3 linked regions of the Drosophila melanogaster genome follow. The protein of the gene in region 3 interacts with the protein of the main gene of each other region in a pairwise test. Each region holds a gene or a part of one and is shown on either strand. Other genes may lie near its edges.

Region 1 (7,792 bases), 6.1 Mb from region 3:
TAATATAATATAATATTGTTTTTCGGCAAAAAAGTTGTTTGTTAAAAAGCATTTTTTATAGTTTGGTTTTCTATGCCTTTGAAAGCTTAAGGATTTACCACCCAATTTGTCTTAGATTTTGGGTTTGGGACATTCCGATGCAGTTCTTCCGCTCAAGCAAAACGAAAGGCCAGGATGCTAGTTAAAAGTGCTGTCCTTGGGCGGCATTTGCAGCACATTCATGTCGACGCTATCAAACGGCTCGTCATCGTGGGGAGGATACGGTTCCGGATCCCTTCGTATCCGAGCCTTTGAACTACGCATGACGAATCGGCATTTTACGCCCATTCCGAGCCGAAAGGACGAATTCAGCAGGGTTGCGACTGCTGTGGCAAATGCTTTGTGCCTGTCAACCGAGCGGAACTAATTTCGAGACTGCACCTGCAGAGCCACCAACATGGGATGCACCAACCACCAACCCGGCCGGTGGGTGGATTGCGCAAGTGGTCCAGCTTCCAAGGGGGGTGGAAGGGCAGTAAATCCACTTATCCGGGTTCGGGGTGTTTAAGTTCGATTGCTAGCACATTAACATTCTTTTATTTTACAAGGTCTAATTTTGATTTGGGCTTAAAATTCGACGGCCTTCGCCGGGCGGACTAGTGATCCATGGAGTCCTTGACGCCGCATTCGCCGTAGGATTGCAGCTCCTCCGGCCGGAAGTAGGAGCTTTGCATACTATATAGTCGGTCGATCGGATTGATCATAGGCGTCTGGGCAAAGGGACCCATTAGTTGCTGAAAGGTGGCGTAGCTCAGACCTAGAATGGTGTTCAATATGGGCTCGCTGTTCTTGTTGCAGTTCTCTGTAAATTGTATTTTATATTCCTTGATACGTAAATATCCTTAAAGGGCATAACCCACCTTTATTGGTCTCCATACAGTTGAAGGGCACTTGCTCCTGTTCGTCCTTAATGGTGCATCGCATCCGGGTCAGTCCATCGGAGGTCGTCGAGTACGGCGATTCCAGCTGTGATTCGCTGTCGCTGTGCGCCTCGTCCTTGATTTTGGTGGCCAGACTGCTGTCCAGCGATTCCTGCGAGTCCTGCGAGTCACTAGCTCCTTTGCTGGGCGGCTCCTGCTTGGCCTTCTTCTGAATCTTTTTGACCTTGGCTCGCTGGTTCTGGAACCAAACCTACAAAATACGATATTGGTTTAATAGAATATGTAATGATTAAATTCCATTTAAACCTCTTTACGCACCTGCACAATTCTCAGGCTTAATCCAGTATCCTTGGCCAGATTCTCTCTCACTTTTCGACACGGTTTCGGTGAGACTTCGAAGGAGGCCTTAAAAGCTCGTCTTTGCTGCGTGTTTAGAATGGTTCTCGGTCGCTTGGGTCCTCTTCGTCCGTCTAATTTGGGCGGGAAAAGCTCATCGCCATAGAAATCTACATAGTTATATGGTTATCATTGGGAACCGATTTCGAATAGGGCCATTACCCACCGTATCCCTGTAGCATCTCCACCTCCTTCTCGTAGTCGAAGCGGCAGAAGAGCTGCCCCTGTTTGACCACATACTGCTCCCCCTTCTTCAGCAGAGCTCCACACACCACACAGGCGAAGCACTTTAGATGGAAGACGTTCTCGTGGCATCGCATCACCAGCTCATCGGCGGCGATTTTAAGGCCACAGCCAAGGCAATGATTGCGGATGTAGAGTCTGTGGAGCGAAAATATAAATATATATCATATCATTCAAATATTAAGCTGTACCATTTAATAAACACTACCATTTTAAAGTAAGTGCAACTCACACGGAGTTGATTGTTTTAAGCGCCCCCCGTTTGGCAGGGTTCAGTAATCAGGACTCACCTCTCGTAGTCGACGCGGCAGTAGAGTTTGCCCTCCCTCGCATAACAGGAGTGGACCAGGTGCAGCGAGCAGGCGGTGCACTTGAGGCAGCCCTCGTGGAAGGAGTTCTCCACCACGCGCATGATGTAGCGATCGCAAATGGGCTGGCAGCAGTGGGCGCACTGGCTCAGCTGCGGCGATGCCATGGCCAGGCCCAGTTCCATGCCCATGCCGGAATTGGAGGCCATTCCCAGAGGCGCTTGCGGTGTGTTGGATGCCGATGGAGGTGCTGCCGGCGTTGCAAAGCCGTCCATTCCATTGAGGCTGCACTCGCCCAAAGTGATGCGGTTGCAGTGTGTATGGTTGGGTGGTCCTGGACCATGTCCTGTTCCTGTTCCCATTCCGGTTCCTGTGCCCGGTCCCATGCCCATCGGTTGCTTGTTTATGGCCATGTTGCTGCTGCTGTTGGTGCTGCTACTGCTGCTGCTGTTGCTGCTGTTGTGGTTACTGCAACTTCCGTTGACAGTTCTGCTGACTGACGCCATTTTGTCATTGTGGGCTACTCCGGCTTTGGTACTCGCACTCCTTCCGGCTGCCACCACCACCGATGTTGCTGCTGTCGTTGGTGTTGTTAACATGCGTTCATTTCCGTTCAACAGCAGCAGTTGATTGAGGCCCCCAGTTTGCGGCAGTTGGCCAGCACCCAGTTGCTGCTGTTGACATTTTATGTCCATCGGAACTATTTTGGTTTTGCGGTCGTGTCGTTGGTCCAGATCAGCCCACCGCCCCAAAGGAACATGCAAATGAGAAACATTTCAGTTATTTTTATTTTCAATGTGGCCAAGAGCGCCCTCAATTTACAACTATGGTTCGGTCATCAGGCATAAAAAGGGTTCCCGTTTTTGCGGGCAGGACCAATGTCCATCTGCCTCGCACTGTGACCATAACCGTTTCGAGTTGTAGTAAATTTGTGGTTTTGCAATTATTGAAATGACTTTTCCACCAACGGAAAGAGTGTGAGTAAATGTGCGAGTGTGAGTGCGACTGCACTCGAAATTCCCCGAAATGCCATGCGAAATGTGGCATGTAAAAAATACGACCAACGTGGCGTATGCGTAACCGATGCGTATGTGCGATTGTTTGGCTTGGTGGCAAAAAATTACTGTACATTTGCGGTGCTGACTGGTTGGCTTTTTGTGCCTTGTTGTCTCAATTTATGGCAAATTGTTGAAATTTCAACGTAATTTGTTTCGAGCTTCCAGCTTTTGTGCTCCTCTGTGTGTGTGTGACGTTCATTTTGTTTGGTTTTTCCCTTGTTTTCACTGGTGTGCGTTTCACATGCGTGTGTGTTTGTCATTCCGCATTTGAGTGATTTAAATGTGTGCGTAATTTCATTAAATGTTTTGCAAAAATAATATCTGGTATGCCAATTTATGCCAGAAATATGCCCAGAATGTTAAAGTATTCCAGCCATCGTTTACATTAACAATTTTTGCTACACCTCTTGCACTGATTGACGTGAATTGCTCTAGACCAGCTTGCACTCAGTTTGTTCTGCCAAATGACAAATAAATGCGAAAATAGTCGATTGCAGCTCTCAGTACATTTAATTGGACTGCATTTAATTGCCATTTGGATATAGAAAAACTATGCAGAAAAATAGCTGGGAAAATGGGAATCAAATAGTGTTTTGTCAACCAATTAAGCGATTTGTAAAATAGTCAGCAAATATTTTTGTGACTTCAGTACTCTAAATGAAATTCAATATAGTTTTTGGTTGATTTATACAAAACCACCGCAATATAAAACCTGCAGAAACAATTTAGCTTTGCTCTATCTAAAAACATTTAGAAATTAAGCTGAAAACTTGTTCTTTGAATTATTTTGTAACTTTTGGCATTAGCATTATATATATTTTTTTAAAGCATTTTTTGAGTTTTCACCTTTATATACAATTCTTTTTATATATTTAATAATGAATTAAACTTCATTTATGTGTAACAAAATATTGCTGACATGTGTGCTATGTTCGTTGGGTGTATTTTGGCTTTATAAACTTTTCAATATGCTACTTATTCATAGCAACTGAAGTCTCCAGCAGTGTTTAACCCAATTTCCAAGGTCCTGATCTCCCCATTCCCGATACCCATTAACTTGTGACACTTGGAACTGCGGGAAGCTATTTCCTAAGATGTGCAGCGGAATAATCCGCTCAACAACCACACCTGTTACACTTTTAGTGCTCTGTCATTGCCATTTGACATTTGAAAATATACCAACATGTTTGCCGGACATGTCGGAGAATAGAGCTCGAGGATTTTGGGACGACAAGTGTAAAGCCGACATTGATAGCACTTCCACTTGCCCACGCTCTAATTAGATTCTAATGTGCAGTGGAAATCGAGGGACGGGTTGCAAATGCCACCCCTTGCAGTGCTCATAACTATGTAGATTATAAACGAATTTCAATGAATCCGGGGGCTAACCGAGGGCATTTAGCTGGCGGATTTCCACCCTTACGGAAAATATGCTCGGGCTTAGCAAATAAGCATGAGGATGAGGCTGGAGGGGATCAGGATTTCGGTTACGGCGGCTGGCGGCTGGCTGCTGGCGGCATATGTTGGCAGTCGACGACAGTGAGTGGGTAAGCGGAAACCCTTGGAAATGCTTGCCAGGATGTCGGCTGCGCTGCCAGGATGCTGTGTGCTGCCTCCGAATCCGCTGTCAGTTGCCAGCAGTTCGCTCGGCAGCAACTGACAGCGCTTTATTTAATCGGATTTGAGTAGACAATAGAGTTATGGTGCCATTGCCGTTTTGTTGTGCCAGCAATCGCAGCGCAAATGCTTTGTTTTGTCCTAATCTCTGACAGAAGTCAAAATTTGCTTTGCTCTGGAAAATATGTTGTAATTTTCATTGGCTTTCAGCCAGTCGGATTCGAGTGGACGTGTGTGCAGTCGGTCATATGCATACTTGCCACTCTGGGTGCTAAATAGCATTCACTGAAGGCAAATTGAAGCAAAAGTGTTGAGATGCAATGTTTAAACTTGGGATTTGCTTTGTGCGAAGTAGAATTTAGCAAGAAAATGGCAAATTTTCACAAATAATTCATCTTTGGTTTCTAATAATTTCATGTGCAAAACTTATTTATGCTGCTATTAAGTTAGTATTTTTAAAACCAATTCAACTGAATAAAATTTGTATAAAATGTGCTGATCTCTTTGACTGTTATAAATCAAAATCACTAATGGCCAAAACGAAAATCCACTTTATACCTTTGAAAAGTGTGCAATTGTGATATCACAATTACCGATATAACACATGATACATGGTGGCTTATTCCTAATTCACTTATCTAAAGGTATTTGATTTGAGCTAATCACTTGATGCTAATATTTAAACTATGATTAAACTAGAGAAAAAGTGAATGAAATATATGCACTCTTCTACTTGAAGCTATTTACATACCATAAATTAATGAGCACTTTTTAACATAATTAATAAACTGATAGAAAAATGCCGACGGGATTGGGAATGTTGGGCTTGTAATGCCGTCGGTTATTGGAATAGATTCAGACTTCATATTCCTCGGGTTTGCCCATACTTACACATTCCGATCTGCATGGGATGGTGTTCGTCGATCATTTTGGAATCGTTCAGTTCGGGAATAGAAAAACTATATAATCACGTTCACAGACATTTATGAAATTTTCTCAGGGCTTTTCACGCGATTTTCCTACGTATCTTTGCACATTTTGTGAGCACAGCTTTCAGGACGCCTAAGGACACATTTGGGGACTCGAAATGCAGTTGGCAACTGTTGTTTTGGGGCGGCCAGTATCGGACTTCTGACCTGGCCCTGTTACGAAACGCGATGCTTGAATGATTACGGACCTCTGATGTTAATGAAATTTGTTAAAAATCATTTGCTCTTCTTTGGCCAAATGCACAAGCATCTGCTGCCGAGATAGGAAATTCTCTCCAACCCGAAGGAGAAGTGCCCACTGTTTGCCTTTGTGTGTGTGTGCGTGTGCGCCATTTTATGGCACATCCTGTGCTCCCATATCCTTTTTGGCTCCATCCCCGTGCAAGCCATTGAGAGCCAGCCATTTGCCTTTCCCCAGCTTCCGTGAGATTCGCCAGCTTTTGGCGCATGCGTCGATCGGAACCCCCATATCATACCATCTCATCTCATCTCATGCGTTTTAATGCCGATTTTGAATCCGGGTGGCGCTTCTGAGTTGTTTTGGCTTTTTGTGTTTTGCTGGTTTTGTTGTTGTTGTTGTTGTTTGATTTTTCATTTTGCACTTTTGACTTTTGTCTTTGTCTTTGCTCGTGGGCACATTTATTTGTTTTGTTGTACGTACGTATTTTGTATTGACAAAAGGATGTTTGGCTCGGCGATTTCTTGCTTGCTTTGTCGCCTCAGCAACAACATCCCCGCCCCCCCAAAAAAAAACAGGACTCTCCCTCAATGGCTGGAATTTTGTTGTCCTTCTTTTCTTATTTTTATTTTTACCGTGTGTGTGTGTGTTTGTGAGCTGGCTAGGATTTTATTCCCTTTTCCCGCAGTGGCTTGTACATTTTAAATTTATTGATTTTCGAACGCTATAAAAAGGACTAAGCTTAAAGACCAGTCCCGCTGCTTTAATTAAGGTTTGCGGCCCAGTGTCCAGGAGAATTTTGCTCAAAGAGCTAGCTGTTAATGAGGGTGGCCGGTGGCCCTTTAAACCTGGCCAAAATGAATTTTCTGGTCTATTAAACCGGGGCGCCAAAAACTTTAATGTCTAAGCACTTTGCCGGCTGACTGTATGTCTAGCTTCCAGTTCAGAGTTCCCAGTACCCAGTTGCCGAGATGAGGACTTGTCTGGTCGAAACTCCTGGCTCTTGGCCTCTTTTCCGACGAAAATTCCCAGAAAAGTTTCGTAAACGCGAACGTGTTACTCACAATTAGTGTGCGGGCGAACCATTTAACTGGCAACCAACCAGCCATCTTTCGCTTTCCCAGCCCACTTTTCCCAACTCCGACGATGATAATAGTTATGTGCGGTAATCTTTGCGATTCATAATCAGTACACGGAGCACGGGGATGTGCAGGGAATTTAAAGGACAATGGAGCTACATTAAATGCTTGATCCTGGGGGATTTTGCGATGGGTACTTCTTTTGTTGTGCTTCTTTTATATCAGGTAGGAAACATGTAATTTCTTAATAAAGGAGTGACAATAAATGTTGGCATTTGTTTAACTAAGTGCCAAAAACAATTGCTAAGTAATGCAAGATTTAAAAATACATTTTTATAAAAAATTGTAAGATCATTTAAACTGTATTGTGTAATTCATAATAATTTATTTTGTAATTATTAATAATTGTTATTTTGTTTAATTTGTTCATTTACTAACTGTTAACCTTATATATTTTTAGTTGGCACCTTAAACGATATCTATGTGTATTATGTTAAATCTTATAAATAATATTTATTGAACAATATTCTAAGAAATCTATATTTGTAGCTGATGATGATGAGTAATTGTTGCAGTTCTGTTGTGATGTTGTGATTTTGAAATTTTCATATACATTTCTCTCTCCTCCCTTCAGCTTCATCTCGCAAAGGCTTCCAAACTTTTGGCACTTTGTCTACGCAGAGCCTAGACATGGAAACTCAAGGGCGGCGGTTTTGGAGGCACCACCGCCTCCATCCCTGCATCCATCCATCTATTCCTCCATCCATCCCGAAATCCCGATGTCATCGCCTGTGAGGGGCCTTTAGATCGCATACCACTCGACACTTGCAGTTGGGCCCTGCTAATGACAAAGATTAATTTGGGTCACTGTGTTTCCGACGGCATTCCGATATTGGGGCCATTTGCGAGGGATCCGGTTGAATTGACTGAACAATGGGGGTCAGAGGGCACAAACTACACATACATATGCATGTATGTATGGATATTATGCGCGTGCCTTTTGT
Region 2 (3,238 bases), on a different chromosome or scaffold from region 3:
CGCTTAACCCTTTTACCATCGTTCTAGTGTCTACTCTGTGCGCATTGCACTTGTTAATCGGGGATAAAAAGTACCCGGTGACACCCACAAACAGCGGGCCATGACTTTCTTTTATAACAAATATATTCATTTCATACTCGTTCGGAGGCAACAAATCGCGTGACATGCTGACAGCGGTACTTGGCCCTCGTGTTGCTGTTGTTTCTGCTGAATTTGTTGAGTGGAGAGTGTAAAACTCAACTATTGTCTTCATTTTTCTTGCAAATCATGCAAGGCAATCTAAAATGTTGACACATTGGCAAACACATATGTGGTTGTATGTTCACGCCGACATGGGCAAATCGGCACATATTTATATATTGTAGTATAGGGGTGAGGAGTACAACGGCAGCCAGGAACATTGTACACAAAAGAGGGTAAGAGAAAAAAAAGAAAGAAAAAAAAAAAATATTTGGCGCCCTTTTTGCCCATGTCACTCAAGTTCAAGGTTTACACGCTGTCGGTTAAGGTTACGCTTTTATGTATTATCGCTGAATTGTCACAAGTCTGCGCTTTGTCTCGCAACGAGCGCTTTGAAAAATTACAATAATTGTTATTTACGCATATCTGAACATGAAATGTGTCAATTGGCAGCCAACGAGCTAGCAAAGCGAACGCAACGCAATGAAAGAACGCAACAACGTGGCGTATGCGTAATGTGTGAAAAGGGACACAAGGTCTGGCACTTTTGTCGGGCGGCAAATGAGTGGTATTGGGTGGTGTTCGGTCGGAATGGCAGTAGTGAGGGTATTTGCGACGAGCATCAGACAAATGCTGTCAAGCCTTCATAATTTGGTTCATAAAGCGATTTAGGTATAAGCTTCGAGAGGGTGTTGTGAGTCCCTGGTCAAGCCACAAAGCCACATTAAATGATTTTTCTCGGTTCGAGTAGGTTAAATAGGTTACATAATCCTAAAAATTCGTTTTAAAATTGCACCTTTCACATAAAACAGCAACATGAAAGTATCGTGTTCGTATTGATTGAGTTATACAATTTTCCCGGCTTTATTTCATATGACTTTTTGCAATCGTGTTTTGACTGCTCCTGAATTTTTTATAAACAAATTTTAATTGCCTCCAATTAAGATACTTAAAAACGAACACCTATCGCATTGAAAATAATGTGCTTGGTTTTTCATTTAAAGTTGGGAAAACATAGCTATAGAAAAAAAGTTCTGCATAATTTAATGTTAATAAATCTATTAGCAGTATCTTTATTTATATTAAAATAAATAACATTAGGGTATCCAATCTTCATTGCATCTGCTGTTTTGAGTTCCTATGATTCTATACCACATTGATTGGCTCGACTAATACGTCACATTTGTTAGAACCTTTTTTTTGTCTTCAGCTCTTGTACTGCTTTTTATTGGCCACCAATTTTTTGCGGGCGTTCTGAATGAAGGCATTAGCATTGGCTTCAATTAGCGAGCTTTAAATTTAAAAACAAACGCCAATGGTGTTGGCATTAAATTCAATCGAAGTACTCACTCTACATATAAATAGGAAACAGCGGCGGCTCTTTGACTGGCAGTTGTGTGGAAATCATTGACGCGGTTTGTCGATTGAATTAAATATAAATATCATATTTTCATCGTTAAATTAAATAATTAAATATGCCATTGCCATTGCAATTGCGATTGCTGTTGCTGCCTCTGGCGATGATTTTGCTGCTGGGCACGCACTTGAGTGGCGCGTCGGCTGTTGACAAGGATGTGGCACCAGTTGGCTATGTAAAAACGGATTTGCTGTCATTGGAGCAGGAAATTGGCGGCGCTGCGGATTCGCAGCGAAATCTGCTTCCGGTTCGTCGAAGGCGTGGCATCTTCTTCAGCGGCAGCATCGGCGGATTGCCGTTCCTCAACTGGGCCAGTGGCTATTCTTGGGCATATCCTGGCTATCCGTACAACTACTATGGCTCACCATCGCCTGGCTATTATGGTTATGGCAGTGGCTACTATCCCGGCTACCTGGGCTATCAGAAAATTATCATCGGTTAATGCAGATTTGTGAGAGAACGAAAAGACAGAGCGAAAAATCGATTAGAGAACCCCTTTTCAATGTGAGATTATAAATAATGGCCAGGAAGGAGCGGCGTCGACCCTTTCGCAGTTTGTTATTTTACTTATTGTTGGTGCTTTTAAATTAATTTGCCGGACACAGGGAAAAAGTTGAGCTAAGTTGAAGAGGTGGGGCGCGTATAAAAAAAAAATGAAGAACATGAAATTGCACAATTTATATTCATTTTGCACAGATTTTGCATAAATCATTTCGCAGCGACCAAAATGAAACGCGTAACATAATTTTTAACCCTTGATAATTTTTTATGACAAGCATTTTCGTTATTTTCCCTCCGTGGGACCACCTTATTTGTTGCTGCTGTTGTTGTTGTGGGGCCGCAGCGAAATGCAAATAAAGCGGATCAAAAGTTTGCTGTTAAAAGAAGATTAATTGCAATTTGGTGGCAAGACCTGAAACATTTCGAACCCCACAACAACCCATCGAAAATCCGCTGCCCAATCGGCGCGGTGGGCAATGGGCGGTTGGTAATTAAATATTTTTAAGCTGTAAATGGTTTCCATTTACGTGATGCTGTTCTTATTTTGTATTTGCAATCAATAAAATTCATTAAACGCACAACAATAACAACCAACCAAAGAAGGGAACCAGCCAAATCAAATAAAATACATTCCTCAACGGTCTTAGTTTCAATTGCCACTCCACCGGCAGTTGTAAATTGTTACTCTATTATAAGTGCTGTCCTGCAGTTGTTGCAGTTTCGCAAGTGGCTATTGTTTATTCATTCAGATTTATAATCATTTTATTGCCGAGGTATGCTCAATTTTTTAATCAATTTACATAATTTATGCCCTTTTTATGAACTTCACTCCCAATGGGATCAGATGAACGCATTCGGTTTGTGAATTGTTGAAGAGAGCGCAGCGGAAAATGTTTCAGTTTTGATAGTTGATCTGCTATAATATTGAATTATCGTTATACAAGCAGTTGTCACGTTGTAAATCATTAAAAATTAATTATCGATTCAACAGGACTGCTGTAACAGCAATGGTGATTTTTGCCTTAACAGTCTCACAAACTCAATGGAAATGCATTTTTATATTGCCTGCTAAATGTTAAAAATGATAGAAGTATTAATTAGTGGGCGAATTGAAATAATTGTATCCATATATAATTATAT
Region 3 (7,719 bases):
TCCTCTTACGCACCCGACACACTACTGCACCAGGAGAGCGGTCAGGTGCTGGGCACGCTGCTGCTCTCGCCCATCAAAGAGATGGATAGCTCATCGTCCAATAACACTCTGATTCCAGGTCATCCGGCTACCGCAGCTTTGGCAGCCAGCATGAAGGAGGGATTCACGCCGAGCAGTAAGTGGAAATATCCAAGATCTAGAAGTTTTTAATGCCTCTGAATAGTTAATGATGAGTTCAATACATACTCTTAAGAGGATATTAAAAGCTTAATGGATTAAATATTTATATTCTTTTCTCACTTATTGTTTCCTCTGATAACCTGCAGGTATTCCAGCTGCCACAAACATCACCACTCTGTCGTTCCCCTTCAGCGTGACCAGCACCGGTGGGGAAACGATGCCCACTGGGACACTGAGCATCCTGCCCATTTCGGCGAATGCCCAGCTGCCCACGATAACGACGACGGCAAGTGGCTACGATCCTAACGATGTGATCACCACGATACCGGTGTCCTTGTCCATCCAGCGATCGCCGTCAGCACTTTCCATTGTGGAGCTGACCGGTGCAGATGTCCAGGATGGATATAGCAACAGTGGGTCGAGCAATGGCAATGGCGGTATCACCACTACGGCACTGCTGTCCGTTAAGCCCCTCAATGGAAACCAGAACATTTCGCGAAACAACAGTTTCAACCTGAGCCTCAATCTGCAGGATCCGCAGCAACGATCCTCGATGAGGTCAGCGGGTCCCACGGGCACAGTGGACAACTCAGGCACGATGCCAATTCCTCAGAGGAGCGGAGGCCTGGAAACGGGCGAAGTCGGAGGATCCTCGGCCCCCTCAACTCTGGCCAAACACAAGCCGGAACAAAAGACCGGAGAGGTGTACGTCTGACATTATTATCAGTCGGATTAGATTAGTTAAGACTTGATCGGAATTCGAGCCACGTAATTAGGTTTAAGATGCAATGGCATTGTGCCACCCAGAACCACTAAAAATGATATTATTAGTAGCCTGAAAAAGAAAGATTATTGCAAGGATTTTATCCTCGAAGTCAAGTAATCACTTTTTTATTAGCAATTCAAGCAGCAGATCAGATAGTCTCATATCGAGTTTAACTTAAATTCAATTTAAATGTTTAACTAAAATTTAATAATTCCAATTTCTTCAAACCCTTTTTACTTCATAAGACCAGCTCAAGAAAATTCTAGTAAATATTGAACAAATATTACGAAACGCGTGGAACTGCGAATAGCATTGTATATAACTATCTTAGTTAATAGGAAATTGACTTATTGTTTTGGCACTTGCCATATAAGCTAAGCGTTTGAATCTTTGAATAACTTTTTAATGAATCTCTATCTCGTGTAGGCAGTGTAAATACTTGTAAACCAACACAGTATGTGATATGCGATTGTTATCCAGCTAGATTTTGTATCTTTACAAGTACAGATAAATAAGTGCCTAAGTTTGTATGCTGTAATTATAATCCGCTGCATGTGAATGTAGAAAATGTATGCAAATGTGTCCTTTGTACAGATGAAGAAATCACTTCTTATAGTTATACCTTGAAATAAAATCCATCACTTAGCAAAGCAGACTTCAATCTATCTTTTTTGTTTATATAAGAGACAGTGCGGAGTATTTGACGACATTTCCCACTGACACTCTTTCCTTGATCAATCAAGTCTCTTCGAACCTACCCCAAGAGAAAGGTCAATTAGAATTTGAACCCGAACGGTGCGATATATGTACGCAGCAAATTTAAATGGATGCTCATGGAAGATGGGAAGTCAGTCGCGCTTGGGCGCTCAAGCGGTTACAATCTGCGGACAATATTTAACTTTTATCTGAAGCAAGTGCGAATAATTGAAGGATCTATCAAAAAGTGGCAATTAAAAGGTGAATATACCGCAAAAAATATGCAAAGGAACCGATTTTAGACTGCAGAAGAAGAATGTAAATAGTTGCTCTTCAATTTGTGAAGGAATGTGTCCAATAATATATGTTCTATTACTCGTTAACCTCGCGGGTCAATCACAACTATGTGGCCAAAGAAACAAACTTGCATGCGAACGCAGAGTGTTACTTAATTAAATTAACCTTTTGTCTGGTCTGGTTCGAACTTGTGGCCGCTTTGAGTGAAGAAATATTGACCACGGATCGATGGCGTATTGTTTAATAAAGCCCATTTAATTGTCATTTCGTCAGTGCCGACTAAACATCACCATGGAGCGAGATGAGGTGTCCACCTCGAGCAGCGAGGGCAAATCACAGGAGGAGGCGCCCATGGCGGAGGGTTTGGAGCCCACAGAGCCTATTGCATTCCTGAAACTTTTTCGATTCTCCACCTACGGGGAGATTGGCTGGCTGTTCTTCGGCTTCATAATGTGCTGCATTAAGGCACTGACCCTTCCTGCCGTGGTCATTATCTACAGTGAGTTCACGTCCATGTTGGTGGACCGCGCCATGCAGTTTGGCACCAGTTCAAATGTTCATGCCCTGCCACTTTTCGGAGGTGGTAAAACACTGTAAGTACTCACAAAAGTAAATATGATCATAAGAAAACTGTAGAAGGGGAACTGTTTGGAAAATCATGACTTTATAATATATCACTCATACGCAGGGTGGGCCAATAAAAAAGTAAGTTCATTGACCAATTGATTTATTATCAATTACGCCATTACATAAAAGCTTCTTGAAAAATGTACTAAAAAAGAATTTTTGATTTAATTTTAAAAATATAGGGTTATTAAATTACGTTATTTATAATCATACTTTTTTTACTAATTTAATAAACTTCCAGAACAAATGCCTCTCGGGAGGAAAACAATGAAGCCTTATACGATGATTCCATATCGTATGGAATTCTTCTGACCATTGCATCCGTGGTGATGTTCATCTCAGGAATTTTCTCTGTGGATGTCTTCAATATGGTGGCGCTGCGTCAGGTCACAAGGATGCGAATAAAACTGTTTTCATCCGTGATTCGTCAAGACATCGGTTGGCATGATCTGGCCAGCAAGCAAAACTTTACCCAAAGCATGGTGGAGTAAGTATTTAAGAAGGATATAGCGATGATACTATCTAAATCTTGTTTTCAGCGACGTGGAAAAGATTCGAGATGGCATCTCAGAGAAAGTTGGTCACTTTGTATACCTTGTAGTTGGATTTATCATAACTGTGGCCATTTCATTTAGCTACGGCTGGAAACTTACCTTAGCTGTGAGCTCTTATATACCTCTGGTGATCTTATTAAATTATTACGTAGCTAAGGTAAGAAAAGGGATATATATACCGGATGAATAATTTAGAGTTTATAACTATCTTTTTTAGTTTCAAGGCAAGCTGACTGCCCGAGAACAAGAATCCTATGCGGGAGCTGGAAATTTGGCAGAGGAAATTCTGAGTTCCATACGCACTGTGGTCTCGTTTGGTGGAGAAAAATCAGAGGTGCAGCGCTATGAGAATTTCTTGGTCCCAGCTCGAAAGGCAAGTCAATGGAAAGGAGCCTTCTCGGGGCTCAGCGATGCGGTTTTGAAGTCCATGTTGTATCTGTCATGCGCCGGAGCATTTTGGTATGGTGTCAATCTTATTATCGATGATCGAAATGTGGAAAACAAGGAGTATACACCGGCTATTCTGATGATTGTAAGCTATAAAAGGGAATAATATTATTATAAAAATATTATAGTTGGCAATTTTTCCAGGCCTTCTTTGGTATCATTGTTGGTGCGGACAACATAGCCAGAACAGCTCCTTTCCTGGAGTCTTTTGCCACCGCACGCGGCTGTGCCACCAACCTCTTCAAGGTCATCGATCTGACATCCAAGATCGATCCCCTATCTACAGACGGTAAACTTTTGAACTACGGCCTACGTGGTGATGTGGAGTTCCAGGATGTCTTCTTTCGATATCCCTCTCGTCCGGAGGTGATTGTACACAGGGGCCTAAACATTAGGATTAGAGCTGGTCAAACAGTGGCCTTGGTTGGTTCTTCTGGCTGTGGAAAGTCCACCTGTGTCCAATTGCTGCAGAGGTTCTACGATCCTGTGTTTGGATCAGTTCTTTTGGATGATTTGGACATAAGAAAGTACAATATCCAATGGTTGAGATCGAATATTGCCGTTGTGGGTCAGGAACCAGTGCTATTTTTGGGCACAATAGGTATGTGCATACAAACCCAAAATTATAAAGCTTATAATAATATTTCTTTAACAGCTCAAAACATTAGCTATGGTAAGCCAGGAGCCACGCAAAAAGAGATCGAAGCAGCTGCCACTCAGGCGGGTGCACATGAATTCATTACCAATCTGCCAGAGGTTAGATACAAGATTAGATAGAAAAGATCTCTAAGCAAAAAAAAATAATTCCCCATCTAAAATTTATAGAGTTATCGCAGTATGATTGGAGAGCGGGGATCCCAGCTCTCTGGAGGTCAGAAACAACGCATAGCCATCGCTCGAGCCCTTATCCAGAATCCGAAGATCCTGCTGCTGGATGAAGCCACCTCTGCACTGGATTACCAATCCGAGAAACAGGTTCAACAGGCCTTGGACTTGGCCAGTAAAGGTCGTACAACCATTGTGGTCTCTCATCGATTGTCAGCTATTCGAGGTGCAGATAAGATTGTCTTTATTCATGATGGTAAGGTTCTGGAGGAAGGTTCCCATGATGATTTAATGGCGCTGGAAGGTGCATACTACAACATGGTTCGTGCCGGCGATATCAACATGCCCGATGAGGTAGAAAAAGAGGACAGCATTGAGGACACCAAACGTAATTAATACTTGTTTAAAGTAATTAAAGCGAATTAAATTTTTAATACTTTTTAGAAAAAAGCCTGGCTCTGTTTGAGAAATCCTTTGAGACGAGTCCATTAAACTTCGAGAAAGGTCAAAAGAACAGTGTCCAGTTTGAGGAACCTATAATAAAGGCACTCATCAAGGATACAAATGCCCAGTCAGCTGAGGCTCCGCCGGAGAAACCGAACTTCTTCCGCACTTTCTCTAGGATCCTTCAGCTTGCCAAACAGGAATGGTGCTACCTGATTCTTGGAACTATAAGTGCTGTAGCAGTGGGATTTTTGTATCCAGCTTTCGCGGTCATCTTCGGAGAATTCTATGCTGCTTTGGCTGAAAAGGATCCGGAGGACGCACTGCGTCGTACTGCTGTTCTATCCTGGGCCTGCTTGGGCCTGGCATTCTTGACCGGATTGGTTTGCTTCCTTCAGACCTATTTGTTTAACTACGCGGGCATTTGGCTTACCACCAGAATGCGAGCCATGACCTTCAATGCGATGGTGAATCAGGAAGTTGGATGGTTCGACGACGAGAATAACTCGGTGGGAGCTCTATCCGCTCGCTTATCCGGCGAGGCAGTTGATATCCAAGGAGCCATAGGATATCCCTTGAGTGGCATGATTCAAGCGTTGTCCAACTTCATTTCAAGTGTCAGCGTAGCCATGTACTACAACTGGAAGTTGGCCCTTTTATGTTTGGCCAATTGTCCCATTATAGTGGGATCTGTAATCCTAGAAGCTAAGTGAGTTAAAATGTTAGAGATTATACTTCTTTTTCTTACGACTACGATTATTTCAGGATGATGTCTAACGCTGTAGTGAGGGAAAAGCAGGTGATTGAGGAAGCCTGTCGCATTGCCACCGAATCCATTACCAACATACGCACTGTTGCCGGTCTGCGAAGGGAGGCGGATGTTATCCGGGAGTACACAGAGGAGATCCAGCGGGTGGAGGTGCTCATCCGCCAGAAGCTTAGATGGCGAGGAGTCCTCAACTCCACCATGCAGGCATCAGCTTTCTTCGCGTATGCAGTGGCTCTTTGTTACGGAGGTGTTTTGGTGTCCGAGGGTCAGCTGCCATTCCAAGATATTATCAAGTATGGAAATCCATATAGAATTCAATCTTGAAGCAATTAACCATTTTAAATAATATTTGTAGGGTATCAGAAACATTGCTGTATGGTTCCATGATGCTCGCTCAATCTCTAGCCTTTACGCCGGCCTTCTCCGCCGCTCTGATCGCGGGTCATCGCCTATTCCAAATACTGGATCGCAAGCCAAAGATTCAGTCACCCATGGGCACCATTAAAAATACTCTCGCCAAGCAATTAAATCTTTTCGAGGGTGTGCGCTATCGAGGTATTCAATTCCGGTACCCTACACGACCTGATGCAAAGATTCTGAATGGCTTGGATCTTGAGGTGCTCAAGGGTCAAACGGTGGCCTTGGTGGGTCATTCCGGGTGTGGAAAATCCACTTGCGTTCAGCTACTTCAGCGTTACTATGATCCCGATGAGGGCACTATTGTAAGCCATTAAACAAATATTGCCGCTATGTATATCAAACGTAATCCACTCTTCATACAGCATATAGATCACGATGATATCCAACACGATCTGACCCTCGATGGAGTAAGGACCAAATTGGGCATAGTCTCTCAAGAACCCACTCTCTTCGAGCGCTCTATAGCCGAAAATATAGCCTATGGCGACAATCGGCGATCTGTTTCCATGGTGGAGATTATTGCAGCAGCCAAGAGTGCCAATGCTCATAGTTTTATCATTTCTCTACCAAATGGCTATGATACTCGGATGGGAGCCAGAGGTACTCAGCTATCTGGTGGACAGAAACAGCGAATCGCCATTGCCAGAGCGCTGGTGAGGAATCCCAAGATCCTGCTACTCGACGAAGCCACCTCAGCTTTGGACTTGCAAAGCGAACAGTTGGTCCAACAGGCCTTGGATACCGCCTGCTCGGGACGCACCTGTATTGTCATAGCCCATCGATTGTCAACTGTCCAGAATGCCGATGTGATCTGTGTGATTCAAAATGGTCAGGTGGTGGAGCAGGGTAACCACATGCAGTTGATTTCACAGGGCGGCATTTACGCCAAGCTACACAAGACCCAAAAGGATCATTGAATATTATCTAAACATTTATATAAATCTCACCAAAAGCCAAAATACACTTGCCACCAAAAACTAAATAAACTCCATCAACTTTTTATCCATTAAAGACTTGTTTATAAATAATGGGCGGAGATGAGTTTTAGGTAACTCTGTTTGCAATGTGTATAATTATTAGGGCTATAAGTTGTAAGATCCACCATCAAACTTATCTAACTGATAAGAGTGCAATCTTTGCGGCATGTCTATAACGCCAAGCACCCACACGACTGTTGTTTGTATTCATTGTCAATGGCATGCAAACTTGATTTGCCGTTGTGAAATGATAACAGTTCGCAATTAAACAGGGAAGATCATAAGTTTAACTGCCTGGAATGCAAATTACGCCAAATTTCAGTACTCAGTTGACCCATTTCCGCGATAGATGGGTGCACACCTTGCCAAGAGGTAAGATGGTCTACGATTTTCCACCAGTCATCGTGAACCTTGAGAAAAATCAATTCAATTGATATTAATAAAAAAGACCATAAAGGGGTTCGCTTCTCTAATAGAAACCGAATTTGTCGAAAACTGACGCCATAGCCGCCAGAACCGTCAGTCGCTTTCTACAGTCCCAACGGAACAGACGTGGAACATTTTGCTCCGGATAGCAATAGCATCGCAAGAAAGAAAGAAAAAAGCTGGCTGTAGTAGCCAACGATTTTGTATTTGTGAAAACGCGGAATGCAAAACAATTAAAGCTAAACACGATCCCAGGCAGATCAGCCTCATCGGCAGTGCATCTGGCGTAGC

Evidence for each region. The genes of interacting proteins can lie anywhere in the genome.
Region 1: the proteins of Mdr65 (region 3) and CG4328 interact in a two-hybrid assay, tested with the Drosophila melanogaster proteins (one large-scale study listed by BioGRID).
Region 2: the proteins of Mdr65 (region 3) and CG14369 interact in a two-hybrid assay, tested with the Drosophila melanogaster proteins (one large-scale study listed by BioGRID).

The regions. Positions count from the first base shown.
Region 1 is NT_037436.4:12,290,401-12,298,192, forward strand, and holds CG4328 (uncharacterized protein), read right to left. Parts: upstream 5,724-7,792; 5' UTR 5,471-5,723; coding exon 5,434-5,470; intron 2,568-5,433; coding exon 1,850-2,567; intron 1,698-1,849; coding exon 1,483-1,697; intron 1,427-1,482; coding exon 1,239-1,426; intron 1,171-1,238; coding exon 900-1,170; intron 842-899; coding exon 636-841; 3' UTR 556-635; downstream 1-555.
Region 2 is NT_033777.3:13,591,077-13,594,314, reverse strand, and holds CG14369 (uncharacterized protein), read left to right. Parts: upstream 1-1,657; 5' UTR 1,658-1,700; coding exon 1,701-2,039; 3' UTR 2,040-2,683; downstream 2,684-3,238.
Region 3 is NT_037436.4:6,239,814-6,247,532, reverse strand, and holds Mdr65 (multi drug resistance 65), read left to right. Parts: upstream 1-1,786; 5' UTR 1,787-1,903; intron 1,904-2,212; 5' UTR 2,213-2,230; coding exon 2,231-2,532; intron 2,533-2,807; coding exon 2,808-3,053; intron 3,054-3,105; coding exon 3,106-3,277; intron 3,278-3,337; coding exon 3,338-3,652; intron 3,653-3,711; coding exon 3,712-4,168; intron 4,169-4,222; coding exon 4,223-4,323; intron 4,324-4,392; coding exon 4,393-4,780; intron 4,781-4,836; coding exon 4,837-5,545; intron 5,546-5,601; coding exon 5,602-5,898; intron 5,899-5,960; coding exon 5,961-6,327; intron 6,328-6,387; coding exon 6,388-6,942; 3' UTR 6,943-7,033; downstream 7,034-7,719. Other genes in the region: Best2 (bestrophin 2), read left to right, coding at 1-175, 327-895.